Lepisosteus oculatus: one gene and its partners. The protein of the gene in region 1 purifies or fractionates together with the protein of each later gene. This does not show direct contact. Links are inferred from orthologs where the notes say so. Each region holds a gene or a part of one and is shown in the gene's direction. Other genes may lie near its edges. The genes, in order: sec13, sec16a, sec23a and mios.

The links.
Region 2: the proteins of sec13 (region 1) and sec16a purify together in Homo sapiens (co-immunoprecipitation; 4 studies listed by BioGRID and IntAct, counting the BioPlex papers as one, with this or other methods). This does not show direct contact. The link is inferred for Lepisosteus oculatus from reciprocal best matches to the Homo sapiens genes SEC13 and SEC16A.
Region 3: the proteins of sec13 (region 1) and sec23a fractionate together in Homo sapiens (co-fractionation; 3 studies listed by BioGRID and IntAct, with this or other methods). This does not show direct contact. The link is inferred for Lepisosteus oculatus from reciprocal best matches to the Homo sapiens genes SEC13 and SEC23A.
Region 4: the proteins of sec13 (region 1) and mios purify together in Homo sapiens (affinity purification with mass spectrometry; 5 studies listed by BioGRID and IntAct, counting the BioPlex papers as one, with this or other methods). This does not show direct contact. The link is inferred for Lepisosteus oculatus from reciprocal best matches to the Homo sapiens genes SEC13 and MIOS.

Annotation. Positions count from the first base shown.
Region 1 is NC_090699.1:58,913,203-58,920,858, forward strand, and holds the start of sec13 (protein SEC13 homolog), read left to right. Parts: upstream 1-4,635; 5' UTR 4,636-4,832; coding exon 4,833-4,835; intron 4,836-5,381; coding exon 5,382-5,426; intron 5,427-5,722; coding exon 5,723-5,838; intron 5,839-6,210; coding exon 6,211-6,362; intron 6,363-7,084; coding exon 7,085-7,218; intron 7,219-7,656. Other genes in the region: cand2 (cullin-associated NEDD8-dissociated protein 2), read right to left, coding at 908-1,164, 1,771-1,894, 2,251-2,405, 2,774-2,917, 3,987-4,054. UniProt on the Homo sapiens protein: Functions as a component of the nuclear pore complex (NPC) and the COPII coat. At the endoplasmic reticulum, SEC13 is involved in the biogenesis of COPII-coated vesicles.
Region 2 is NC_090719.1:5,263,941-5,271,126, forward strand, and holds the start of sec16a (protein transport protein Sec16A), read left to right. Parts: upstream 1-4,168; 5' UTR 4,169-4,321; intron 4,322-7,186. UniProt on the Homo sapiens protein: Acts as a molecular scaffold that plays a key role in the organization of the endoplasmic reticulum exit sites (ERES), also known as transitional endoplasmic reticulum (tER).
Region 3 is NC_090703.1:4,827,778-4,835,030, reverse strand, and holds the start of sec23a (protein transport protein Sec23A), read left to right. Parts: upstream 1-4,253; 5' UTR 4,254-4,368; intron 4,369-6,012; 5' UTR 6,013-6,034; coding exon 6,035-6,255; intron 6,256-6,762; coding exon 6,763-6,820; intron 6,821-6,912; coding exon 6,913-6,999; intron 7,000-7,253. Other genes in the region: signal recognition particle subunit SRP54, read left to right, coding at 547-647, 996-1,082, 1,360-1,433, 1,628-1,736, 2,134-2,304, 2,533-2,628, 2,995-3,086.
Region 4 is NC_090705.1:3,822,348-3,829,541, reverse strand, and holds the start of mios (GATOR2 complex protein MIOS), read left to right. Parts: upstream 1-4,187; 5' UTR 4,188-4,247; exon of another isoform or gene 4,248-4,265; intron 4,266-4,301; exon of another isoform or gene 4,302-4,324; intron 4,325-4,676; 5' UTR 4,677-4,740; coding exon 4,741-6,037; intron 6,038-6,470; coding exon 6,471-6,569; intron 6,570-7,194. UniProt on the Homo sapiens protein: As a component of the GATOR2 complex, functions as an activator of the amino acid-sensing branch of the mTORC1 signaling pathway. The GATOR2 complex indirectly activates mTORC1 through the inhibition of the GATOR1 subcomplex.

The DNA of each region.
Region 1 (7,656 bases):
ATGGACAGTTATCCTTGTATATGATACATTGATTGGCAATGTTATCCTCACTTCAACTCCCCAGTACTTTCAAACACAAACTACAGCAGCAAATAACGGTGACACAGGACTAAAATGGCATTTAATTCCAACACATGTCAAGCACTATAACAGTTCCTAAATCAAAAATGTTTTGATATAGTACGGTACAGTATTGTATAGACTTCAGTAGGTAAGTGAAGCCCATTATATATTTCCACTGAAGAATCATGAACAAGGACAAGAAAGTAGTTATAGCAATTGGCAACCCAGTTTGTATTTTATCACACTAAGAAAGTATGTAATAAGGCATATAAAATGCACATGAGGAAATTGCTTACAGAAAATAGCAAGGCCAATAATTATGTGATCTAAAAGTGGCTGAATTAAAGAATAATGGGGAGTTGTTGTCTAGCTTTGGCAACATGTCCCATCACTGAATGTTAAATTTTATCATTTAGTTTTGATTGTGTAAACACAAAGTAGCCTTAAGAAGCAATAAGGAATTAAGAACTGCCATTAAACTTTAGATTCTTTACTACTGAAACCAGCTATGTACTCCAATTCAGATATTTCTGTACCAGGTGATATCTCAATACAATGTTTCCTCATTTGTTTAGTTTGTTTTATTAGCAAGGAGAAAATGAAAACATTCGTAATTATACAACTTATTATTATTATTTTAAGAATCTTTGTTTCTGTCCCTTTTTTTACCACTGACTAGTAGGAACTATTATATGTACACATTGTATACATATATTTGTATATAGAGCTTATCAGATTTCATTAAAACATTTCAGATCCAGATCTGTTAAAAGACAAGTGGTTTAACAAAAAATAAAAACCTGAATTGGAAGAACTTATTTACTCTTAAGAGACGCTGTCTTACCCACTCTGTGGCCGGCCTGCCTGCTGATGGCAGCCACACACTGGATGTAGGTACGTGTGGTGGAGGTGGAGGCGTTTCGGGTGAGCTCGGCCAGCAGGTGATCCATGAGCTGGGTGAAGACAGGACTGCTGCAGCTGGGGACCAGGTGGCTGAGAGCAATGATGCCCCGCTTCCTCACTGCCAGGCGGGGGCTGGTGAGCTGGGGCAGCAGGCTGCTCAGAATGGAAGGGTGGAAGATCATGAGGGTCCCACTCAGCCTGTGGGCAGAAAGGATATAAGAGATGAATATGGGGTCAGGAATTGACAATGTCCCCCGAGACGTCCAGGGTCCAGTGTTGTGCATACTGCTTATATTAGCACAATACTGTTCATCAAGATAAATAAGAGCAGATGATGAGTTTCAAGGTTCAGGCTGGAATTATAGGTAGAGCATCTGAGTGTGTTGAAATACACACCATTACTTGTATACTGGCAATGGCCTCAAAGGTCTCTGTATTAGACTGAGAAGAATGTAATTTACATCTTTATCAAGGAAAATAACCACCTACAGTATTCAGATCATTATTTAAAGCAATAATGAAAAAGTCAGCTAAGGAAATGCCTTGCTTCAAAGCCTTTGTGTGACCTTTCTTCTCTAATAGAACAGAACTAGCAAAGCTGGTAAGTGCTATAAAACTGTTTTAAAAATTATTTTTTTAGTCAGTGCTTTAAAATAATCATTCCAGAGACATGGATAAGAGTGGAGATGCCAGATAAAACTAACAAATAGTGGAAGACAATATAATAAAGTTTCATTTAAGTAAGATACAACTACAGTGAAGATTTACAAATCACTTCTGTGACACAGAGTGAACGTCTCCTACCTGCTCAGCATGTCTGAGAGGATATCCAGTGCCTCCAGCTGTATGGACACATCCTCTGTTTTCCCAATGGTTGATGTCAGCTGTGTTGTTATTTTCTTACACACATTTGCTGTCAGAGCAGACCCTGAAAAATGTAGTATTATTTTTACAGATTCCATCACTGTACGTTTTTGGAGTAAAATGTTAACTGTTTGGTTTTAGATTTTTAAATTTTAAGATTAATTTACTTGATAACGAGCAGTGGATTTTCAAAATTACAATTTCAAATTGTTCACTTGGAAGTTCATCATTATCCATGGCATCTTGGGTATGCAAACATCTCTATGAAATCTCCAACCCCAGTCCTAATACCTGCAGTAACACTCACCCTAACACAGTTAGTTTTTGGTGAAATCCATGACATCAGGATGAACAGCAGATGGCTGAAAGAATCAATACCTTCATTATAGCTGATCGTAATAAGATCATGAAATCTCTTACCACTGGAGGATGGAGGAAGCTCAGCAATGACTGTTTTCAGGCCCATACTTGAAGTGTCTCGTAGTTGCTCTTTATCTGAAAGCATGTTGGAACACAGCGTGTCCACAATGGTCTCCACCTGGTATTCTTTCACCTTACTCACCAGTGGGCCCAAGCTTAAACACACAAAACAAAGAACAGAAAAATCAACAGTAACAGCTGTCTGTTCATTGCAAACATTTTTTTTCTGTGTGATACACTGGTTTAATTTATCCTGAATGTGATATATGCCCTTGACGTTTTTAGAATTTGCTCCAGTTTAATATTTAGTCCAACTATTGTTTCTTAGGAAAATTAACACAACTCTTTTCAATGACCGCTTTCTCTCTTGTTAGATTTGCACCTTGACTGTTTACATGAGTTTCAGAAAGTCAGCTCTGGAGCAAAAACCTCTTTGAAAATCACACTGAATGTCGGTTGTTTATAATTCCCTGTCAGCGGTATGGGATTTAAAGGATTGTGGATACTTATTAAGCTCACTCACCATTTGACTGCAAGGTTCTGAACCTCTCCATTCTTATCTTCCAGCAGCCTCAGGAGCATCGCAACCACCTTCTTCTCACTGTCTTCATCTAGCTTGATGGAGTCTTTCTGGAGCTCCATCATCAAGTCATTGGTGGCCATGAATCTGAAAGCAGATACCCACCACTGTCATAATCAGCACCACTACTATTCCAACAGGCCCCTGACACTTTCTTCTGAGATGTCCAGACCTCCGAGGGGCGAAATCCAAAAAGCAGAAAGGGAGGGTTTGAGTGAGGTGATGGGTGTTACACTGTTCACAGGGGTAACAGCAGTGATGTCCACACGCAGCTCTGCATAACCTAAATCACGTCATCATTGTCTCAACAGAAAATATATCAATCTCACCCATCTCTTCAGATGATGAAGCTTTCAAAAGACCTGCAAAACCTGCAGACACCCTCGCCTTCTATGACCAGGATTATAGAAACATTGGGGAGTCCTTTTATCTAAAGCAGTCATAGAAATCTCATAGTTCTCACTTCTCCAATGATCTACTGTGTAAGTGACTTCTTCTGCATAATGACTAATACAAGTCACCCAGCTGGCTGCTTTACACCAGTGGTGGGTTAAGTGGGTTCCCTTCTTCATGTAATACACTTTGGGATCCTTTATATTTAAAAGTAGTAGAAAAATTCAATGAATCATTATTATTGATGTTGTAAATGGTTTATATGTCTGCTAATACTCTGTTTATAAACCGTTGGCAAGGGTTCTGAACTGTCTTCAGTAATGAATATAAATAATGAATACACAAGAAGAAGAAATATATTTCAAGAAAACAAAATGCATGAAGGATTTTATCCTTTGTATGAAACAACTGTCATCTAAATTAGATGTGGAATTAGAGACCACATAATACCAGTCACTCTGACATTAAAATATGTTTTACAACTATCCATTTCCATAAACCAATGTTGTATGTTTATTTTTCAAGTTAATTAATTTTACTGCAGGCAAAAAGTTTAGTACCACATAATATTCATATCAAATTTCCTGACGTTTAAAAAATATTATGGCTAATAATCCCACACACTTAAATCCATCTTAAAATGTGAGGATGGACTGAAGCAAAATGTAAGACGCTCAGCTGACAGACATTTCCAATGTCATTTCACCTTTAATTTAGCTATGCTCTAGGTTGCATTAAAACATGCAAACTAATACAGTCTTACCTAAAATCTTTATCAGTAGATGTCATTTTCTCCAGTAGGTTGGAGATATGATAAGTCACACTGGCCATCTTTTGAGTTTACCTTTGAAACTTGTATTCACTCTACAATCTTTTAAGTAAGTATAGCAGAAATTTCTTTTAGTTTACATGGAGAACATGGCGAGGGAGAGACAAGAGTGACGCTTCAGGGTAAGAACAAACTGGAAAACCTGATACTCGGCACGCAGCGATATAAATAGCTTACAAATTGACTCGCTACTAGCACCGCCAAGTGGTATTAACGCCTATTGCAAGAAAGTCATACTTTTTAGAACTCACAGTACGGTCCTGTCTTCCAGGTAGTGTTTTAGTTTTACGTCACCTTTTAATTAAAAAAGAAAATTTACTATGGTTATTTACGATTATTTGTCTATGTAATAATATAGGTAATATGTATGGCTCTCTTGACATAATGGGTTTGTTTTAGTAATTAAAAACAATTGTTCGCCCCTTTACGTTGGAAGGAAATACTTGGTCATGTTTGTATTTGACGATAAAATGTATTGCAAGAACTGTGATAATGCCACTTGTGTTAAATGTGAAATTACGCCATGTAGACTGCGAACTTTGTAAACAGAGTATCAATGTTTGCTCGGAACTCTGTATCGTCGCTCCTTGTTGTAGCCCGACAGAAGGAGTGGGGATGCTCCCGGAAGTGGAGTTGAGTTAGAGAAGAAGTGGAGTTGCCACGTCTAAGAGAGGAAAACGGCTGGAGCGGGAGACAAAATTGACTAAACGAGATATTATAAATCCAATTTATTAATTGTTTTTAATAAGAGCGGTCATTTTAACAGTAGTCAGCACAAATATGGTGAGTAAATCTATTTTTAATCCTTGGTAGAAGTCTCATGATGGCGATTGCATTTAAAGTTTTTGATCGGTTTGCAGAATGTATCTCATTCATTGAAAAAAATGCTTGATTTTACACTTACGGTTATAGCTTCAATAACAGTTGAAGCAATATCTAGATTTCTGAAGCACGTTTAAAGACGAGGATGAATGTCATAAATCGTTGATTTACGAAACGACAATCGCCACGTCTAAACGTAGATGTTGGACTTTGAGATAACAGGCGCCTAAGGTTTGGAAAAACTGCCGACCTGTGATTGTAGAGACATTCCTGTATTGATTTATGTTTTCAGTAATTAGTAAACAAAATATTGAAAACAATACATAGCAGTATTGCGTGCAGTCGCTTTATAAATTTGCACGGCGTCTTTAGAGTCATATTGTTGTTTTTGCCTAGTTGCTAGCTTTGTTCATTAGGAACCACAGTTTAATATACTAAAAAAAAGGTTTGGTTTCATAAGTAACCTCTACATTGTAATATTAATAGTTATGCAATTTTCCCTCTTAGGTTTCAGTTATAAATACTGTGGACACGTCCCATGAGGACATGATCGTGAGTATTACTGCTTTTCGTAATTATGTGAAATGCTAAATAACCACTGTTGTGTGTTTAGTTGAGCGGTTTGAGATCGCTGAAGAATGCAGTTTCGTTATACTTCGTTAAAAAGTCCTCTATTAGTTATTGTCTGTTGTTAGTTGTTAAAAGTTTCTACTGTACTATACTTTTTTGTCAAGCAGCCAGGAATTGAAGGTGTCCAGCTGTTTTATGTTTCAGAATTTCAGCACTTGGACACTACCTGACCCTGTCTGCCCTTATCTTCTTTGCCATGTATTTTTTTCTCTTGCCAGCATGATGCTCAGATGGACTACTATGGTACCCAGTTGGCTACTTGCTCGTCCGATAGGTCTGTAAAAATATTTGATGTGAAAAACGGAGGTCAGATCCTGGTTGCCGATTTGAGAGGGTAAGTTCTGGGATGGTTTTCTCACCGTTACTAGTTCAGTGGTATTTTTCAGACAAGTATTTTGCTTCTTGGGAGATTTATTCCCAGAGGAGTCAGGTAGTGTCTGTTCTTAATCATCTGTTTTATCCTTTACATGAGGCAACCACGCACAATCCTTAAAGAGGCTGTGCTCCTGGGTGTAATTAGGTGGCGCTCACTCCTATGCCATGTGCCTCACTTGTGTTTTGATTGTGTAAATGGTTATTTTGTAGCTGTAAACTTCTATCCTTTCATGGAAACATTTGAGAACCTCTTTTGTTAGTTTTTTTTTACATTTCTGCTGATTATGAAAATATAATAATACTGAAGCATTTTGTCCTTACTTTCCTACAGTCACGAAGGGCCAGTCTGGCAAGTGGCCTGGGCTCATCCAATGTACGGGAACATTTTAGCGTCCTGTTCCTATGACAAGAAGGTGATCATATGGAAAGAGGAGAACGGCACATGGGACAAGATGTATGAGTACACAGGCCATGAATCTTCAGGTAGACAGACTAACTGACAGGCTATTGCTGCATTTCACCTTTTTGCGGACCATTTTAGTTTTTTTTCTATTTGCTGTCCAGCACTTGGGGTATTTTTCTTAAGTTAATGATAACTTCATATCACCTTTTTGTAAGGCAATATAACCATTGCCACAAATAGGCCAGACGATTACACCAATATCTTTTCCCTGTTTTAGCTTTTGAACGTTACCTTTGATTTCAGTCTTTACTTGTGAATGACAGAGACAAGATAACAGGTTGAAGTATAAGGCAATTCTCGTTCTGCATGCACAGTGGCAGAAAAGTGGAATTTACATCAAGCACGAACTTGAAATGTTTGTACATTTGTCTACAGAAGAAGAAAAACATGATTTTACATTGTACACATGCTAAATTTCTACCAGTACCTTAACAGGATAATCGCCACTTGTATTAGCAAAATGAACCAAAAAAGAGACCTTTGAAGTAATATTGAATAAGCTAACTTTAATTAAAATGGGTTAGTCTTGACAATGGATCTTTAGTGCCCTAAATACTGTTATTGATCTTTGGTAATGTCTTAAATGTCGAGTAATTAAAAGACTTGAAGGTTCTATTATGAAAATAAGATAAGGGAGATGTAATAAAAGCATGTGTGTATAAAGTGGTTGCATCTCAGTAAGTACTTGTGGTGCATGGTTGCCTTCTAAAAGCTGCCCTGTGTCTCTGTCTCGTACTTGAAGTAAACTCGGTGTGCTGGGGGCCCTATGACTTCGGACTGATTCTTGCCTGTGGCAGCTCAGATGGTGCAATATCGCTGCTCACTTACTCCGGGGATGGGCAATGGGACGTCAAGAAGATCAGTAACGCACACACTGTAAGGGGCCTTTAATTTGACTTTTAAGTCATTTTTTTCTCAATCTTAAGTGTCACTTGGTTAAAGGTTGTGAGTCCATAAGATCATCAAAGAATGTTTAGCTCTTTCCTTAAAGAACAACAATGAAAACAATAAAAGAAAGCTCAGCTTATAAAATTTTGTTTGTGTAAAACTGCATTTAATAGTAATTGCAGTAGCTTGATCAACAGCATATATATATATGAAATTATATATAAAATAATTCAAACGGTGTAAATGCCAGAATAAACTTGCAAAATAAACAATATTTGGCACTTATTTTCTCTCTCTAAGATTGTAAGAATTATAGTACATTATCAACTCAGTGGCCCATACCAAACATAGTGGATTAAAAAGCTGCATATGGACATTTTTATAGAATGGAGTATGGTTTTGTAATGTTAATTGTTCTTGTTTTGT
Region 2 (7,186 bases), on another chromosome or scaffold:
TCAGCTGATCTCATTGATTCCTCCATCAAACATTTCCTTAACCTGCTCATGGGGGCTTTCTTCAGGGCACGCATGGCTGCAATCTGAGCATCCGACTTCCTTTAGTTGTGAAGATAATGTCATGTTGGGACGCAGGCATCAAGGGAGAGACCACTTTCCCTTGTTGCAAGCGTGAGAGACAGCGAGAAGAAAACATAGAAGAATTCAGTACAGTACACGGCATTATGGGTTGTAAATAACCAATCTTTGCAGCAACAAATCCTATTAGATCAGCAGAAGTGCTGACCAGGAATGAAAATTCACCACTCTATTACCTCTATTAATTATATAAAACTATCATTTATTATTATGACTAAGCTTTCAAGGAGACTTTTAAACTGTCATGATGGAATGGTGTAATGTTTAAGAATGAGCTACAGCTGCACAGAAATGGGATTATTCACCATTTGCAGCAGAGATGCCCAGTTTTAGATCCTGTTCAGTGGGGTTTACAGGTCTCATCAGCACCTGAAGAGCTAGGAGAACCTCTTTCATCCATCCATTTTCTACACTCTTCTACAAATTCAGGGTCATGGGGGAGCCAAAGCTTATCCTAGCAGGCAACAGGCATGAGGCAGGATAAGATAAGATCACTTTATTGGCCTTATGCAATTTATTGCATTAGGAATTTGTGTTTTCACATACTCCGACTTGCTCTCCATGAGTTACACAGACAGGAAGAGAAGCTTGGGGAAAGAGCACAGGGTCAGCCATTTATACGGCACCCCTGGAGCAGTTGGGGTTAAGGGCCTTGCTCAGAATTCCTCTGCCAGCCACAGGATGCAAACTGATAGCCTTCCAACCAGAAGGCACAGATCCTTAGCCACAGAGCCACGGCACCACCCCTGGGACACTACCTTCAGCAGGGCAAACAGAAAACAAAAACAGACACACACACTTACACCTTGAGCCAATTTTCTCAGAAGCCTATTAACCTACTAGCATGGTTTTGGGCTGTGGGATGAAACCAGAGCACCTGGTAATTCACGGTCATGCCTTTCAGACTGTGTAATGCCCCGGTTACGTTTTAGCAGTTGATGGAGCGAGTGCTGGCATCAGTCCACTAGAGCGAATGCTTTGTGTATCTAGACAACCTACTCGTGCATGCCCAGGGTTTCGAGCAGGCTCTGGCGAACCTCTGGTTAGTGTTGGCTTGCATCCGGCGGGCCGGGTTGAAGCTCAACCCTGGGAAAGGTTACTTTCCTGGGTCATATGGTTGGCCCGCGAGGGGTGTCACAGACCTGGGGAAGATCGCTGCAGTGCGTGACTGACACCATAGCAGAGCTCTGCAGTTTCCTGGGGTTGACGTCTTATTACCCGAAGTTTGTCCGGGACTTTGCCAGCCTCACCCCCCCACTGCACCGCCTTACGGAGAAGGGGTGCCGTTTTGTGTGGGACATGGAGTGTGAGGGGGCCTTCTGGGGGCTGCAGAAGGTGCTAGTGGGGGCCCCTGTCCTGGCCTTCCCAGATCCGACGCTACCATATGTGCTAGATACTGACATGATGCAGGGGTGGGCGCAGTACTAGCGCAAGAGGGTCTAGATGGGGAACGGGTCGTTGCATATTTTAGCCTGGCGCTCAGCAAAGCAGAGAGAAACTATTGTGTCACCTGGAGGGAGTTGCTGGCTGTGGTCTCGGCAGTCTGCCACTTCAAGCCCTACCTGTTTGGAACTAGTTTCAAACTGTGGATGGACCATGCGTCCCTCAACTGGCTGCTAAATTTCAAGGAGCTGGAGGACTGCCGCTACTGCGCCCAGTGGGAGCAGCGTGAGGAGGCCACCCGTGGTTGGGGGGAAGCGGCCATTCGGTATGGACCTTGTGAACCTGGCACAGCAGCAGCGGGAGTACCCCGACATTGGGCCAGTGCCCCATTGGAAGGCAGCTCAGTTGGGAGGAGCTCACCTCTCACACCAAGTCCATGAAGGCTCTCTGTGCTCTGTGGGAGGCCTTAGAGGTAAGGGACGGGGTGGATACCCTCCAGCGGCAAGGTCAGGTGGCAGCTTGTAGTGCCACGATCGCTCTGCGGGGCAGTTCTCCAGGCGGTGCACGGTAAGCCGGGTGTGGGGCACTTCGGCTCCGCGAAAACCCTGCGGTGACTCCAGGGCCACTTCTATTAGGGTCTCTGCCACTGGGATGTGGGGCGTTTCTGCCAGACGTGTGCGGTCTGCGAGGCCCAGAAGGGCCCTCCTGAGCGCCCCTCCAATGGCACCAGGTGGGGGAGCCCATGGAACAAGTGGGGGTGGACATATTGGGCCCATTTCCGGGGACCGAGGTGGGCAACAGCTCCGTCCTGGTGGCAGTGGATTATTTTAGTGGCCCAAGGCTTACCGCCTCCCGAATCAGAGCATGTCCACCATGGCCGATGCCCTGTTGGAGGGAATGTTCACTAGGCTGGGGGTGCTGGAGGAGCTCCATAGTGACCAGGGGTGGAATGTCGAGTCTTAGGTGTTCGTGGGGGTGTGCCAGCGCCTGGGGATTAAAAAAACGTGGACCACCTCGCTGTATCCCCAGAGCGACGGGCTGGTGGAGCATCTTAACCGGATGCTCTCCACTCAACTGGCCACCTTCGTCTTGTGGCACCAGCGGGACTGGGACCGCCACTTACCTCTCACCCTCTGGGCGTACCGGACCGCTGTGCAGGAGTCCACTGGGTGTGCAGGAGTCCACTGGGTGCACTCCAGCCTCGTTCATGCTGGGAAGGCGGGGGTGCAGCAGAAGCGGTATTACAATCTGCGCTGCAGAGGGACTCCTTTCAGACCGAGGGACCTCGTCTGGGTCTATAACCCACGGGGCCGCAAGGGGCTCGGCCCAAAGCTGGCGCCGGCCTGGGAGGGACCCTGGGAGGTCGTGGGGGAGCTCTGCTACCGTGTCCGGCTCACGGCTTGGGAAGCGAGGGAGGGTGGTGGTTCTGCACCGAGACCGCCTGGCTCCCTCCAGGGCTTGCGAGGGCTCACTTGAACGGGAGGGCGCAGAGGAGTCTGGGGAGCAACCAGGTCCAGATTTCACCGTCCGCGGGGCCTGGAAGATTTTGTGTTTAACATAGCCAGGTTTGTTGCGTTGCGGCCGAACAGCACTCGGCTAAGGTGCGCAGCGAAGGGCAGGATGGGTGTATTAACCAGGGCGAGTACTAAGGGAGCCACTGGCCAGTGTCACTGACCATCTGGAACAGGTGTACACCACTGTAAAGGTTGTCCAGATCCCTGCGATCCCCAATTTTGCATCCCCTTTTATACCTGTACCCACTTACCACCCTATACCTACGTACCTGTACCCCAAATGACCCTAGTGTGTTGTACCCTGCTTTCTCTGGTTTTTACTTCCTCTGTTGTTGTTGCTGTGCCGGACGCACGTCCGACTAATATAGCACCGAGTTCTTAACTAATAGAGCTAATTAAGTTCCTGTTTCCATCCTCGCCAACCCCGTCGCGCTACAGTACTTTAGGAACAGGAAAACACATTTACAATGATCAGACTTAGTTAATTCCCAAGAGGCTCAACAGTCCTTTGAAAACACAGACAGACGGTTCACATTATAGATTTGCAAATTTAGTATACTGTATTTAAAAATTGTGTATTTACTGTATAAATAACACAATATCATTTCCTTGCGCAAACGTAGATAATAAAATGTATTTGTTCATTAGCAGATAAATTACATACTTGCTTTCTCATAACAGATTTCGATGTTCGTCACACTATAAGCATCCATCGCATCGCATGAAATAAGGTCTTGAGCCCGGTATTGCCCTGGACTATATTAACAGGGTTGTGTATACACTATGTCAATTATTTTCTTTAAAAAAACGGACTCGGTCCAATTTAATATCTCGGGTTCAGATGCAAGTTCATCTTTTCTTACAAAAACATTACACGTTGATGTACTCTAGGGGCGCACTGTTCGATATAAATCGTCCATTTCCGGTAGAGCTCGGATCGTGCCTCGTTCTTTTCTATTAAAAATAATTATATTTCTTTTTAAATCATTTAGACGCATATGATTTTATTGTCAACAACCAAAATAAATACAATTATGCAAAATTACAACATTAACTGCAAATTGTACATGGTTCAAGGCCTTCGACTGTGACGCCACGGTGTTTGGGATTGTGACGTTAGAGGTACACGTCGCCTAGCAGGATGTAGCTCTGGTTGAAGATGGCGGCTGTGTGTTTGCCTCACGGTTCTGCAGTCTTGTAGGAATTCCTATTTAATTCCGCTTTACTGGCCGAATTGTGTTGTTTCTTTGTCGTCTCCAGGAGGTCGGCGATCTCGTTCTTGAGAGGTAAGATGGATCGAGATGTACAAGCGGTGTGGTGCAGCACTGAGTTCAGATTTGTATAATGGGACTGGGTCGGGATTACCCTAGTTTTAAAAGGCACAAGATCTGTTATTATTCCCCCCCCCCCCGGCAGAAGTGGGGGCTTTAAGGAACTGACAGCGCATCCTGTTAAAGATCTGGTTTGGCATCAGACCATCGATTATCGGCGAGTTGGACATCTTCACTCTCCCCAGTCTGATGTACAAACGGGCTTCGTGAAAGTTCGGCACTTGCCTGTTGCAGACGTTCAGTTAATCATATGTGATGAGTCGCCGATATCCTCTGCTTGTTGACTTTAAACACGACAGCAGCATGTTAACGATTTGCTACGAGTCGCCGCTTTTAACGGCAGGTTTCGCAGTGGTGTTAATTATAAAATTGCTTGAAAAATTTAAATGTTCCCTATTCGATATTGAAACGTTCCTTCCAAATGTGTCAAATAAATAAAGCTGGAGAAGATAGTCCTTTTCGCTATTTTTTAAGATCGCAAGGTCGGGTTTGATCTTAAAAACATTTGAGTATTAATTTGAGAGCTTCTCACTATTTGCTTATTTTTGTGCGGGTGTCGTCTGATAACATCTTAAATTTTGCGTTTGTTGTAGCTCTAGTGAGGAACAGAGTCCTTATGCTTTGGACTTTAGTTTCTACGACTTAGAAACCCGATAGGCACCCTGACTGCAAGTGCGACTTCAGTAATTAAGTTGTATTACAATATTGTAACACACGAATAATAAGGATTTAGAGTTTGGAAACCAAAAAAACGTATAGGTGTTTGTTGTGGTGTTCGATAGTAAAGAATTGAAAATTGCAAATCGCTAAATTAACCATTGCAAAATAACCTGATTCGTCTACATTGTATTGTATTGACTCATGATGCTTTTGAGAGTTATTTTAGAGCAACAGTGCAACCGACGGGCGCCAATAGATGAGGGTGAGAAAGTTAGTCCTAAAGCAGCTCTTTAAACGCTGTTTGTGAGGACTACATTAGCCACAGAAACGTCGCACACCTGAGGCTGACGTGGAATTCCATCCCGTTATTAGGAAATGCAAGCTGCTTCACAGTGTACGCACAACCCAGTGGAGAAATCTATATGTGTGCAGTGAATCCGAAGACAAATGTCTATAGGACTACGAAGGAGGTCTAGTTACTGGTGGTTGAATTTTTTGCTGTGGAAGCCAAAATGATTCTATATAATATTAATTTTCCTGTGAAGGTTCCATATACTTCTTTCATATACTGAAAGAAGTATAATGAGTCACAAGTGGTGGGAGTATGGATGAACCTACCATCCATGTATCTGAGGCTGATATCCTGGCTTCCTTCAAGAAATGGCTGGATGAGATTTCTGATCAATGAGTTACTAACCAAAAGGGTTAGGTGTACAGAATATACACTTTATCTTGTAAGTCACAAACCACTTTCTCTATGATATTTGGAGTATATTTAAAGACGAGCTGCAGTCCCAGTTTCTCAGGCTTGTTATTAAATCTTGATAAAATAAATTCATTGACGGTATAGACAAATTGAACAAATTTCGAAATAAGCACACAATCGTGAACTTTGTAAAAGTACTGAAATGTCGCTGTGCTGTTGCACACCCCTGGTCTTGCTATAGACGAGAGCATGATTTCTCACGAATTGTGACGTAAAGCAGCCCCTACTGCTCCCTAGTCACTGTAATAACTAATGTAATGTGCAAATTAAGCACAGGTTGTGCAGCCGGCATTTCACCACAGAAACTTTCCAACATAATCTGCAATCAGTTTATCAGCAAAACCATCTTGAAGACGAGAGCAGTATTTCTCTTGGATTAAAAGAGATGTATTCACAAGCCTGCTTGCTCACAGTGTAATAGGGCCCCAACACGTCACCAGACGTTTTGTTGCCTTGTTCCAAATCGCAGAATATGATGCTGCGTCTACCTTTAAATTTTATTTTGTGATGTAAATTGGAGGATCTACAAGTTACTGTACATTTTACTTTTATTGTGGTTTGAAGGGCACTGATTTTGTAACCTCAAAATATAAAAAAAACATTGCATTTCCCCTTTTAAATATGTTTTTAAACTGTGCAGTTTAATGTTGAGGTGTTCCTGTTAATCACACAGAATATCCCAGCCTCCTAAATATGCAGTACTTGAAGATCACATACTGTAATTCATGCAGTCACTTTGTTTGCACAGGATCGTGGTCTATTGTTGGTAACCCAGTCTCTATAAAAACTGTCTTAATTAATATTCAGTACATTCCTCAAGAAATTATTAATGATGTCATCATTGCATTTTTGTTGGGTTCAAAGATCCAGCACTCATTTTGCCATGTGATAATGTATCCATTTAAATAAGAATAGAAAGTTCGCTTGCCATTCTTAATGTTTTGCAGCCTCTCTTATTAGTGAAGGGGCAGTCATCTTATAGTTGACAGTTGTAAAACTTGCAACTTGGGAATAAATAACTCAAGGCTTTGTCAACACTGGTGTGACAGATCTTTTGGTGGAATCACTGAATCCCTAACTAAAAAGCTGTAAATCTTAAATAATAATATGGCTTTAGTTTAAAAAATATTGAAGAACTACTGTGGCAAGTGTACAAAATAGATAGATAAGACTTTATTGATCCTGAAGGGAAATTGATGTGTTACAGCAGTCTGGCCCAAGACAAGCAAAAAAACAGACATCGGAATAGAATACAAATTATAATATGTACAGTAATACAGAGTAAATATAAAATAAATACATAGGTGTGTACAAAATATGATCTTAGTCACTGTAAAAACAATAAAATATATGCAAAATGTGCATAGGTATAAACAGATTGAGTGTCCAAAAAA
Region 3 (7,253 bases), on another chromosome or scaffold:
CTTTAGACCTCATGCTGCAGTCTAGTCATAAATGTGAAAGGCAACATATCAGCTTTGGATGACCTGCTTAGGATCTGTTAATATTTGTTTTAAGACTCTGCTTCAAGTAGTGAGAAGTTTGTGTAGAACTGTGTGAATTGCATCTGTAACCAGTCTTTATAGTAACAAGATGAAACTCTTGTTGTGTGATGTTTCTCCTTTCGTATCCAGAAGGATTTACAATCTCGGCAAAGGCAACAGGCTTGTCTGCTGGCATTGTGGGTGTGGTGGTTGTCGAAGCTCAGCAGGCTGGTTCCTTGGGATACCGAATGCAATAGTTTTGACTACAAACTCCGCTATTGCTGTGACTTTTAAATGTCATCTGTGTCTTTTGCTGTTTGCAATGGCAATCAAAATTGCTGTTATTTTTTTCATTCTTCACATGTAATAACACATTTTCTTTAAACACAGAGTTTAGCTTATTTTTTTGTGGCTTCCTCTGAATCCTAAGAGAGGTCCAAAAAAGAGTCATGGAAAAGTCACAAATTCACCATCCCCCTTTTTCAGAGTTGCTGCTACCAAAAGTCCCATAATCTTTATCGGCACTGGAGAGCACATTGATGACTTTGAGCCATTCAAAACACAACCTTTCATCAGCAAGCTTCTGGGTACGTATTGCCCTTTTTCCCCATCTACTCACCTGAGCTCATGGAGACAGCACTAAGAGGCAGTATGAATTATTTTTCTGGGAATACAATGAAAAAAGTGAAGTAACTGGTTAGGAATTAGATGTCAATAGGTGAGGTTTTTTTAACCCAGTTAAAGGTTCAGAAATCTGATGAAAACGAGGAGGAATTGTTTCCCTTTCAGACCATGGTGAGGTGAAAGGGTGTCTGCAGGAGAATCGATAGGTGATTTTTGTACATGGAGTATGATTTGTTTTGGCTTGTTTACAGTGTTGTGAGACTGAAGCCTTGTGATATTAACTGTATTAATGTCTACTCTGTTGTTTGCAGGAATGGGAGACATTGAAGGTTTAATAGATAAGGTCAATGAGCTAAAACTGGATGACAATGAAGAGCTCATAGACAAGCTTAAACATGGTAAGACTTCTGTCATTCTGTAGGAGTCAGCATTCACCACAAGCTTCAGTAAGGGTCACGATAAAGAAATAAAGCCTCACCTTCCCCTTCCAAGAGACCTTGACACCTGTATTTTCACCAAAATCTAATTTTATACAAAAAAGTACATGATATTTTCTTAAGGTGGTGTTCATATATGAAAAGGTTTGCTTCATTTCATAAGCGGATATTTTCCAGACACAAATGAATAGTCATTATGTGCAGCATTTAATCATGTTCTTTTGTTTCGTTTCCTTAGGGCAGTTCACTCTGAGAGACATGTATGAGCAGTTTCAGAATATCATGAAAATGGGGCCTTTCAGCCAGATCATGGTAAGAGCTGTCTTGAAGTGTGAAATGTCTGTGGAAATTCAGGGTGCACTGTGTGAGACTGCTTTCTGAACAGCTGTGTTCTGTTTTTGGAGTTTCGGAAACATGTCTTAAATTAATAAGAGTTCGGCCCTTTATGAGTAAGAGATTATTAAGTTTCTTTAGTTTCTAAATGAGGTCTGAACTGCTATTTGCAGGGCATGATTCCAGGCTTTGGAACAGATTTCATGAGTAAGGGCAATGAGCAAGAGTCAATGGCCAGGCTGAAGAAACTCATGACCATCATGGACAGCATGAACGATCAAGGTAAGTATCGTACGTGGTTCCAAGGTATCAAAGTGAATTTGATACTTATGAGCCATAAAAAAAAAGTATTTTAAATGTTTTTTTAATTGCTTTGAATTTGCAGTATGTTTTATGATCCCAGCTGAGATCTGCGATCTGAGTATTTTAGTAGAATCCATGGGATTTCTGTAACTTTTGGCTACAGCAGCTAAGTGTTAGTCACTTCTAAAGAGATATCGCAGCAGCCTAATCGTCCCGATCAAGTTTCCTTCATGTTAGTGTCCTTGATGGTTTTGAGTGGTTTAGCCACTGGCCTTCTTGAACACTGGGCATAAGTGCAGATCGCACAGCTCTGGGGAATCCCTGTACGCCCGCAGTCTCAGAGCATGCTCACCCCGGGCCGTCTGCTCCTCGGCAGAGCTGGACAGTAAGGACGGCGCGAAGCTGTTCAGCAAGCAGCCCACCAGGATCCAGCGGGTGGCGCGGGGAGCGGGCGTGGCCGCGCGGGACGTGCAGGAGCTGCTGACGCAGTACACCAAGTTCGCCCAGATGGTGAAGAAGATGGGCGGCATCAAGGGGCTCTTCAAAGGTACGGGCACAGACTAGCGATCGAGTGCGCGGGCGAGACCCCCTGGCACTGTCGGACGGCTGTGTGATGCGCCGTGTGCCTGCTCGCACTATATTACTAATTCAGTTCATCTGTTTAAAAACGGCTTTAAGTAGGTCTCAGCATCTTCTTTTATCAGTCAGTTGATGCCTGTCGAGTCTTATTGCAGTAAGATGCAGCGTGTGCTGATGTACATTCCTCTCTTCATAGGTGGAGACATGTCCAAGAATGTCAATCCTTCCCAGATGGCGAAATTAAATCAGCAGATGGCCAAGATGATGGACCCCAGGGTTCTTCACCACATGGGTATGCCTCTGTCATTGTCTTCTCGCGTGCCTGACGGTCACCTCGTGCTCCTGAAGCACCGCAGCGTCCGCAGGGACACTCCTGCGCACAGAGCTTTGACTCCAGTTGGTACAGATGAGATGAACAGATTGCATTAGGGAGCTTTTGCACGTACCTGTGTGGGGTGAGACGTGAAGTCTAACTGAACATTTACCTCTTCCCTGTAAGACAGCACAGCAATTCAAATGATGAACCGGGTTTGTCCTTGTTCGTGTTCTTATAAGGGTTGAGTGACTGAATTGTGAAATCTGCAGTTTTCCGGCTGCTGTTTAGAAATGTTACGTTTGTGTAGTGGAAAGAGCTACATTTTAAATTATTTTCCTTCAGGTGGGATGGCTGGCCTTCAGTCCATGATGAGGCAGTTTCAGCAAGGGGCGGCTGGGAACATGAAAGGAATGATGGGATTCAACAATATGTGATACTGAAGCCTTAATCTCATGCGTTTAATGTCGTCTTTATTCACACGCTGAATAAGTCGTTTTTTTTTTTTTTTTTAGAATTCACTTCCCAATTTTTGTGAATTGGTTAATAATAAATGCACAGATTTATTTGTCTAATAAGAAAACGGCAGTCTTAATCTGGATCCATGGGATTCACGATTGGGATACAGGTTTTTGCAGATTGTTACATCTGATAAACTTTACGTTTGGCTGATTTGCAAGAAGTAGAGTGTTACTAGTGGAAAATGCATCAAATGAGACTAGTTTGTGACAATATTTTGTCATGAAATGTGTTGTATAATAAAATTTGTATGGTATGCATTCTCAGTTCGGTGTACTTATTTGGGGGGGTAGAATATTTTTTTAAATGTTGACTTACTGTACACATTCAGTTCTGGAGGTAAGCAGAGCAGAAGATTGGCTCGCTTTGGTCTGCGAGTGGGGGGTTGTGAAGTTCTGCTCCGTTCTTCTTCGTTAAAGAGAAAAATTGAGTTCTTCTGTAAAAATATTTTTGAATGAAATCTCTTGGAGACTGACGAGACCTCTTTGGAGAATGGTCATTGAGGGAAAAAAACTGGTTTGGAGGAAATGGTTTTAGGTCATAAAAACACTTAATGCATCATTCTCCCTTGAAAGTGGGATGTTTTAAGTAATGTAACAAAACACCTTTTTATGCTTCGAAGGGAGGATTATGTACAGTAGGTGCTGATAATTGGACGTGAATTTTCTGCTGTCACGCGTTTCAGGGTTTGGTAAAGGTCTAGAGCAAACCTTCATTTCTGCCGAGGGAGCAGGTACAGTCGATAGTGATGGTGCAAGGAAGGAGTTTGATGTGAAATCCAATGTTAATTTACAAATATTTACATTGTTATTCACTAATCTATTTCCAAAAAAAAACCATTGTGAGTTGAGAATTGAACCTGAGGTGGAAGTAGTTATAATGCCCAGGGGCCATCACGTTACATGATGGTGAGGAGTCTGTACTGTGTTCATGTAGTACTGACGCTCGAATAAAGCCTTCTTGAAGAGATGTCCTTAAAATTAGTCGCGAAGGAGATTCACAGCCCTCCAGGACGCGGCGGGGGGCGGGTCTTGAGGAAGGGAGCCACACGCAGACCGGCTTGTTGCAAAAGCCTGTGCGGCTCCCCCTTGACGTGGCAGCGGCGAGGGCGGCCATGTTGTCGGGTACGTCAGCGGGCTGTGCTGTCAGATGCAGCACTGGCCCCGGGAGGAGCTGGAGTGGCGACGTGCGGCTCGGCAGGTAAGTCAAATATTTACAGAAAAGACCGTGTCAAAGCGGAGAGGCGTACGGGGGAGCTGCTATCAGAGGCAGTGTGCCCCGGGGAAAGAAAATGACCAACGCCGCCGGCGCGGATGGTGGTGCTGTGGGCTGCACGTCTTCGCTGGCGCCGGGGCGCTGGAACATCTCAAGCCCAGAAAAGGCTGCTGGGCAGCCGGCTGCCCGCAGCTCGTCCAGGCGGTCGTGCGAGGGGGGTGTGGTAGTTCGGAGAAATCGTTGTTGTTCTTCTCTTTGATGAGTGAGTGTGCACTAATTTTCGTCGCTGGCAAAGCGTTGCAACTGAAGCGACTTGCCTGGAGTCCCGAGAGCGATATCCCCCCCCCCCCGAGCAGCGATGTTAAAAATGTTTTCTTTGCTATTTTCACAGCCACGCATGGGGTATTTTTATTTCTCTCCGAGTGGAAGGTAGTGGTGGTGCGGTGTCTGTAATGTTTGGGGTGAAGGGGTTTGTGTGCAGGAAATGGGGTTTCTGAGCGTGATATTAATGTATTTTTATTGCACGCGTGTTTGCAAATCAGTGCGGTGTTGGCAGTCTGTTCAGAGTTCAGGCAGAGCTGGCGAAGTTGCCCAATATGAGACATTCACGGTGCCAGTCCGGTTAATCTCTGGCCTGGAGCCCATACGAGAGACATTGTGTGTGTGTGTTTTACTAGCCAGGCCGATCTGCTTGCCAGCTTTTTGCAGAACCGTGGTTGTTTATTTTCAGATGATCAATAATCGTGGCACAGCCGAAAAACTGAACCGGTCGGTTGATTTCGTTGTAAAGACTTCCCCAGTATCGTGGTTCGTATTCTTAATTTTGTTTTGCGGTGAAAGTTGTGAATATTTGCTTTTGGGGGGAAACGGGCTTTATTTCAACTGTATATTTTAAATTCTTTTAACGGAAGCCTGCTTGATCAATCAAGATCAGTCTTGAAATCCTATTCTCTCAAGTACGAATCACTGAGACGTTTCTGTCTGGTTTTGTAGCTCAACCGAATTAAGGCCGTTTTTCCGAAGTAAACAGGACTGGATTTGACTTTTGTGTCGGTGCTAATAAAAGTGTATTACATGACCACCACATCAAAACTTTTAACCTTAAGGTGGATTATTATAGTTGTTGTTTCCTAAATCTTCCACTTGATGGCGCTCGCGAAAGCTCAGTTTCTGTGTGCTCAAAGGAAAAGGCTGTAGGAGAGGTTGTGTACAATTTTCTCATAAGATCCAGGCGATCGTTTTCAAGTGTTAAAAATGCGAAGATAAACTTGTATATCTGGGAAACGACCTATAGCATGGAAGCTGTATAGCTCTGGGCCAAAAACAAAATAAACCCAGTTATATTTATGACACAGTTGCCCAAAAGTTATCCAACACCCAGCCTGGCAAAATCAGTGTTTCACCAGCTGTTCCAAGTGTGTGGTCCGCCTGAATTAAGACCTGGATATCATAAGAACCGGAAAGTTGCAGGACTGCAGTATGTTTATATGAGGACTTGATATTTAGGCTGGGACAAAGTCCCGGGGTCTGTCCGTTGTGTATGTGTCCCTCTTGACCAGTTCTCTTCTCTGAGAGCTTTACTCTGGTTCTGTGAGACCCCCTGCGCCTCTCTCCCCTCTCTCCCTACAGACCCTAGTGCGAACAGGCCGCCATGGCGACGTTCCAGGAGTTCATCCAGCAGAACGAGGACCGGGATGGGGTCCGCTTCAGCTGGAACGTGTGGCCCTCCAGCCGCCTGGAGGCGACCAGGATGGTGGTCCCCGTGGCCACCCTTCTGACCCCCCTCAAGGAGCGCCCGGACCTGCCACCCATTCAATACGAGCCCGTCTTGTGCAGCCGGGCGACGTGCCGGGCGGTTCTGAACCCGCTGTGGTAGGGCCCCGCTCCTGCTCTCCTGCGCTGTGCCCTTGACTCTCGCTGTTGGTCTGCGCGGCGCGAACCTGTGGCTTGGCTCTCGGGGGGGGGGGTGTTTTACTGGGGCGTGCTAACAGGTGGGCTGCTGTCAAGTTTCAATGGGAAAACGGTATGAGCCGCCGGAGAATTAAAAAGAAAAAATGGGATTGAAAAGGCCTCGGCGATATTTTTTACCAACCAAAGGAAAGAACCCGAGTGTGTTATTAAGGTCCTGCACTCCTGTATTAATGAGAGAGCCGATCTGGGCGTGTGAGACTGAAGGAATTCAGTGACAACGTGTAGCAAAGCTCAGACCGCGTCTCTGCGGTCACTAAACAGCTCGGCCCTTCATTTATTGTCTTTTTGTTGCACTGGCGGACCGGCTACTGGGTAGAGTGTGGTGTGATGAATCAGATTATTTTTAGTCGTTGTATTTCCCTGCGTTACTGCGCTGTGTGTCATCTTTATTTCTGTTTCCGTTACCAGTCAAGTGGATTACAGAGCAAAGCTGTGGGCCTGTAATTTCTGCTACCAGAGGAACCAGGTGAAAACAATACAGACATGATAAAATTGGAAGATCTTTAATTTTCTCTCGCGGCTGGAGTTTTAAGTGCTTGTCTTGTTCTGCTTTTCCAGTTTCCTCCAACCTATGCAGGGATTTCAGAAATGAACCAACCAGCGGAGCTTCTGCACCAGTTTTCTACGATTGAATATGTCGTACAGGTAGGGTGCTGCTGTTTTCCGGGGAAGAGGAGAAGAGTTATTTGCATGAGCCAGTGAATTGTTTTCCATATTGCAAATTACATGTCGGGAACCTAATTTATTGGTCTGTCTTTGTCTTCAGAAATCTCTTTTCCTTGCACACATATACATCATGTCTCTATTTCCTCACCTCAGTAGTGAGCAAGGCTGCACTTTTTTTGTCCGCTCATAGTCAATTTCACCTTTGAGTTTGTCTTTTTTTACCATGTTTAAAT
Region 4 (7,194 bases), on another chromosome or scaffold:
GACCCTTGGAGACATTCTGGCCAGCATTCAGTCGATGAGATCTGGAGTAACCACCAAATGCCCTGTCAATCTCCAGTGCTCCTCTCTCAAATGTAGATAACAGCAATGTGTGAAGCACAACTTTCCACACCAGATGTAATAAAAAGACCAAATGATGCCAACATAAAATGTTAATTAAATATTAATACACACTCAGGAATATGAACACGGCTAAGACTACATAAGCCATCAATATTACATAAATAAATGTTAAAAAGGATATTTTGTGCTCATATTTCTCAGCTTTCTACTAAACTTTTCTTATCGAAAGTTCAGCAAAGTGTAAAGGTTCAATTTTGCCAATTTGACCATAGTGGTTTACGCAGGTTTATTTATGGCAGGTGTCTCCTTTTTATACTGTGCTTTGTTTTGCTTCCTGACAAGTTCATCTCATAGTGTTTTCATTTATTCTTTTTTCATTCTAAAGCAAATGGGTTGTAATCTGGCTGTGCGTTAAAGCTCATCATTAATGATGAAAAATAATCCATAACTTCAAGTTTCCCCTGTGGTATTACCTGAATGCGGAATCACCAGAATGTGTTTTATATGCGTTAAATACCTGACTGGATAACATGTTTAATTTATTTATGCTCACAAAACTTCGGAAGAAAGAAACAAGTGTCACTTGCCACAATTCATTGATACAGTAGTAATAACAATAGAAGCAGTATTAAAATAGAAATAATCAGAATGAATGGTAAGCTCTTTCATACTGCCATTCCTAAACCGCTTGATGTAACAAGCATTACCTGTTACAATATTGGAACAATTATTCTAAAGTTGTCAAGGTACAGATGCAGATGCATTAACAAACACTACTTTGTCAAGGCTTGCCACCATGTAACAGCTGCACTGCTAGAAGCAAAATTCCCTCACCATTCAGTATGAAATGAGATACAAGATCTGTGTTTTATTTTCAAAAAGACAATCCAAAATATTCGTTTTGTGAACAGATACTAGACAGAGTGCTGGTATAAAAGCTGATTTTTTTCCCAACATTTACATTTGCTTTACTTTCTGAAGATTTTATGAATGTACCCTACTTTAGCTAATGACCTGCGTTTTTTTTAAATAAAATTCTTTCCAAAAAAATATCCTCACCAGGTGCTTTGCCAAAGGGTGATGAATGAATTTTATAATATTCTCAACACTTTTAGTTTTGAGCCTTCACTCCCCGGCTCTTGAAAGAGTGCAAAATGACAAATTCAGAATCGTAACTAGACAGCATCTCCTAACTATGACGAGACTCTCTTCTTTTGGGAGGAAAAGTACTGAGTTTCCTGTGGACACCACAAAAGTAGAGTTTACTTCAGAATCCTCTCTAGAAGGTGATGTGCAGCCGTGCAACTTTCAGAATTCACACTCCCTTTTAGAAAATAATGTCTATGCACTTCTGACCAAATATTTTAAATGTCACCTAAATTTAACAAAAATAAATATTTATAGTCATGTGGGATAAGTATTTGGGAACAAAGGTCCAGAATATTTTTCCCGTGGGACCACGGAATGTGTGATAGAGCAGACGGGGAATAGCAAGAGGACATGTTGAACACACAGGATCTTCAGAGACACGGGAGGCACTTCTCTACACAAAGGGTTGTGGGTGTATGGAACAAGCTACCCCAGGCAGGCAGGTGAAGGTGATACAGTGGCTTTTTTTCAAAAGCAACACAATTAAGTTCTCAAATGAATTAGCTACTAGCAACCTAATGAGATACATTGGCCTGGATCGTCTCTTTGATTTTAATCTTTTGTAGGGTTTATGCCAGCAACTTAAGTATCTTTATGTGCCTTGCCAGGATCGAGCTATTCCAAAATCAGAGAACTCTCGGAAACACTTAATTGCTACCACAGACACTTGGCTTTTGCTATTTTCCACCTCCTACTCCAAGACAGATCTGACAAATTGAAAAACTTTAACTTCCCACAAGAACAAATGACTAAAACTAGAATTTCGTACTAGGAAGCCCTTTTGTGCTTTGATATCTGTTATGCTCATACATCATGAACCCTCCCACCAGAAAAGCTGAAGTTAAAGAAAAAATAGATATAATTTGAAACATTTCCAGAAGCCCTTTGAGAATTATCTTTCCAGATCTGAAAAAACCCCAGGATTTTTATAATGATGTTTTTATGTTGATTTCTAATATACATTACTTAAACATGTTTATCTGGATGTGCGTTAAAGGTCATTATTAATGTTGAAGAATATTCTGTAAGTAACAAAAATGCATCCCTCAAGAAAAGACCCCTGAATGACATAAACAATAGAAAGGGAACATTAGAGGTTAAAATTGCTCTGAAAAAAGAAGTTGTGATGTCTATTTCTGATGAAAACATGACTTGTGTTCAGCGTTGTGTTTTTTTTCTATTTCAGCGTGGAGTTTACTTTCCCTTGTTCCTTCGCTGCTCCGAGCTCTAAGCTCCAAGCAACAGAAACATGCTTATTTTAAAACTAGACAAGGCACTGCGTCTGCATATCTTTCTACACGTCAAAAACAAGTATCCCATTGTAAACATGCGCCTAGATTCTTGTCTCTTGCATATCGTTAACTGAAATCACCCATGAAGAGGAGGATTGTCATAATTCTCTTAAAAACTGTGACGGGAGAACATTTTTGCTGGGGGAGTAATTCGAATCTAATAAAACAAGCCTTTAACACTTGGTGATGAGACACCCACTCCTACAAGTACACACTAGCTATTGCCAGCTCCCAGGAATTTGTGACACGTGATTATTCAAGTGTACACAGTACATGCTGCTTTTGCACAAATTACAGAGTCTAATGATACAGATCATTCAAAAATCTCTTACTACCGGAACAGTTTAACGGGAGGGTTTACTACAGTTGTGCTTTCAAGTGGAAATCACGTGTGTGTATTTTTCAATGAAGCAAGTTTCCTATATCTATTATCATTACGCCAAAAACGGGCTAAAGGAAGGATGTGACACAAACCTAAACTCTGGAATATGATTTTAAAATAGACTAAAGAGAAAAAAACTGTTTCCATATCTTCAGACTTTGATATGGCCAGCAGCCATATCACCCTGCAACTCACATCTGGCAACCCACTGAAGCTCAGCAGGTGTGATGCAGGATGGGAGGTAGGTAGGTGCCTTTTCGGGCCATAAAGGCCCATGGGGGGCAAGGGCTACCATTTTTCTCAAACATCTGACACTGGAGGTGGCAGCATCACACTCCAGCTGGCCTGTTACCCCCAGAAGGATTAACCCCCTGGTACTCATTTGGAAAGCAGGCTGAGTGGACCTGGGAGCCGTCTGGAAGGAATTAGAGCAAGCAAAATCACTTACCCCTACCTGGGGTTGAACCCGAGACCTTCCAGTCAAGAACTAGACACCCTTGCTGCCTGAGCTACCACAGCTCACCGGGATGGGAGACCTCCAGGGAAAAACTCAGATTGCTGCTAGAAGAGGTATTAGAGAGTCCAGCAGGCGGCGCTCATCCCCGCGGTCTTCTTGAGTCCTAGTTGTGGCCTGAGTGACGGGGACACTATACTGTAAAAAGGCGCCGTCCTTCGGGTGAGACGTAAAACTGAGGTCCTGACTCTCCGTGGTCATTAAAAACACAGCGTGTGTCTTGGAAAGAGTGGAGGTGTCCCCCCGTGTCCCGGCCGAATTTGCCCCTGGCCTTTACCAGTCATGCCCTCCTAGTAATCCCCATCTCTGAACTGGCTTCATCACTCTGCTCTCCTCTCCACTGAGAGCTGGTGTGTGGGGAGAGGACTGGTGCATCATCCAGGTGGGGCTGCACACTGGTGGTGGTGGAGGGGATCCCCATTACCTGTAAAGCACTTTGAATGGAGTATCCAGGAAAAACACTATAAGTTATAGCACAATATAATCATAATAATTATTATTATTATTCTCTCTTCTCTTTTCAACATGGAATAAACCTATTACTTGTTCCTTATTATTTTTATTATTAAAATTCACCGACTTGTACAGTATTCCTTATAAGACACATCATGTGTAGAAGAATGCTAAACTACATATATTATTAACATTATACGCTATTTGGTACTTCTTTTTCTTAGATTCACATATTGGGCGTACATTCAAGCGCGATGCGGTAAGCGGCGCTGTATAATTTAACTCGAGTCCTGCGCAAGAACTGCCTGCCACGTAACTTGTTTCCCGGGGAATCATTTTGGTGTAGGACTGTTTTGGTGCCCGATGCTACTTTAATGTAAGAAACAAAAACATCGTGAGTTGCAACTGTTACTTTGTGCGTTTCGCATTTTGTCGCGGTGGCTTATCGTTATGGTGCGCATATAGTTTTGTTAATGGAGAAAGGATTTGCTTTAATTGTTTATTAGCTTGAGCTGCCAGTAGCGTGTTTCAGAAGTTTGCAGATCATTTTGTGTTCACGTGAGAGGTTATGATTCTAGATAGAAACTGCGGTTATAACATGGTTTGATTCAGGTATTTCCTCCCTGCTTCGGGTTGTCCGGATTTCTTAAGAGTTAATATTTCGTGCACGATTCTCTGCAAGCGCGGTACATAGTAGCTGCCGTCCTTTGGTCACGTTCCCTTAATCCAGTCATAAAATAATAATAAAAGTTGGGAAAACACGTTACTTTTCCTAATTTTAGTTGTTGTATTTGTTTCCCCCAAGTGATCCAGTGATGCCTGGATCTTGAGCTCACTGGAGCAGCGGTGATTGTTACTCGCCCAGGAAGATGAGTGCCTCGAAGCCCGATATCCTGTGGTCTCCCCATCACGTTGATCGCTATGTCATCTGTGACTCGGAGCTCAGCTTGTATCGCATCGCGTCGCTGGGGAGCGCGGAGACCAAAGCCGGAGTTCTCCAGCTCTCGGGAGAGACAGCAGCGACGCTGCTGGCAATCAATTCGGACACCCCGTACATGAAATGTGTAGCCTGGTACCCCAGGCCTGAGCCCGAATGCCTGCTTGCGGTGGGGCAAGCGAACGGACGCGTGGTGCTGACCAGTCTTGGGCAGAGCCACAACACCAAGTGCAAGGAATTAATGGGCAAAGAGTTCGTCCCGAAGCACGCCAGGCAGTGCAACACTTTGGCTTGGAACCCTGTGGACAGCAACTGGCTGGCCGCCGGACTTGACAAGCACCGGGCCGACTTCTCTGTATTGATCTGGGACATCAGCAGCAAATTTGCCCCCGAAGCCTCTGTCCCCACCGAGAAACTGCGTCTCTCGGCTGGCGACACCGACGCAGGCCTCGTGGTGACAAAGCCCCTCTACGAGCTGGGTCAAAATGACGCTTGCCTGTCCCTCTGCTGGCTCCCCCGGGACCAGAAGCTGCTTCTGGCCGGCATGCACCGCAACCTGGCCATTTTCGACTTGCGAAACACGAGCCAGAAGATGTTTGTCAACACTAAGGCCATCCAGGGGGTCACTGTTGACCCCCATTTCCATGACCGAGTCGCTTCCTTTTTCGAAGGCCAGGTGGCCATTTGGGATCTCCGGAAATTCGAAAAGCCGGTGTTGACCTTAACCGAGCAGCCGAAACCTCTGACCAAAGTGGCTTGGTGTCCCACCCGCACCGGACTTCTGGCCACCCTGACCAGAGACAGCAACGTCATCCGTCTGTACGACATGCAGCACACCCCGACCCCCCTCGGCGATGAGACGGAGCCCACCATCATCGAGAGGAGCGTGCAGCCGTGCGAGAACGTCATCGGCTCCTTTGCGTGGCACCCATCCAGCCAGAACCGCATGGTGGTGGTGTCGCCCAACCGCTGCATGACGGATTTCACGGTGTTCGAGCGCATCTCCCTGGCCTGGAGCTCCAGCACCTCCCTCATGTGGGCGTGTGGCAGGCACCTGTACGACTGCACGGAGGAGGCAGAGGCCGGCTCCCTCGAAATGGACATTGCCACTAAAATGAGGCAGCGAGCGCAGTCCAGATATGGCCATGACACTGAGCAGATCTGGAGGAACCACCTTTTAGCCGGTGGGGATGATCCTCAACTGAAATCTCTCTGGTACACTCTGTATTATATCCTTTATAGTAAAAAGGGTGATCTGTGACACGCCCGGTGATTCTGTCTGCATCTGAGTCCACATTGCTGTGAGCATCGCTCTGCACTTGAGCATCGCTTGCTTGTCCCTTCCTCTCTGTGTTGCGGTTTTTAATGAAACAGCCAACATTCCCCAGATCACTGTCGAGAGACTGATTGATTGGCTGGAGCTCAGTAATATACCAACTCCCCCCTGCCAGAACCATCATAGTCTCCGATGTGTGGTTTTTCTGTAATATATCCTCTTAAATCCAAATTACAGAGACTGTAAAACAAAGCATAAAAAGTTATATATATATATGTATAATGTGTTACTTTTCTTTTTGAATTGTATTTCTAGGTTCTATTTAATTGTATTTAAAGGTTCAGAGCACTTTTTATTTCAGTGTTAATTTCCTATGCATAAACCACTTATGAAACAGTACACTGAAGACCTGGAACAAAAGAACTTGGGGAACAGATTGCCTCTTGTCTATTCAGGCATAAAAAACATAGTGAAGTCAAGCTCAGGTAAGACATTTTTAACACACTTTTTCACTTCACACCGAATTGGCAGTGTCTTATGATTGAGTTGGTCTCCTCTTCCTTTCGATCTTTTTCTCTAATAGTGATTGCAATAGAACATACGGTTTCTTAGAAGTGCCCAAAAGCCCAATTTAAGTCATTGGCGTTTCATTAAAAGGTCCAGCAGTGTTTTAAAGATGTTACCACAGTGCAGAAACAGAAAAAAACGAAAGCAGTATGAACCTGTGCAGTGAAGTAGCTTAGCTGCCTGTAGATAAGCGTTAGGACCAGATTCTATGGGCAGCAAGTACAATATGATCAGTGTAAGTGTTGAGGAGCTACAATTAAAAAGGTGCATTTTATGTATTGCGTGTGAGATAGTGCTGTCCACATGAATTTTTTCTTTTTTAATTAATTTTATAATTTTTTGTAATCTCTTTCCCCATTATGCTCCGTGCACAGGAAATAGGCCTAGTCTTGCTCTCGGGAGGCTTTGGGGTGTCATAGCTGCCCGTACTCTTCTTTAACACTTCTTTGAAACTATTGGCAGACATTTGAGCTTCAGTCCCATCACACTGCTTTCTATCAAATTGTTGACCAGTGCTAACTGACAGATTGTGGTATCCGAAAG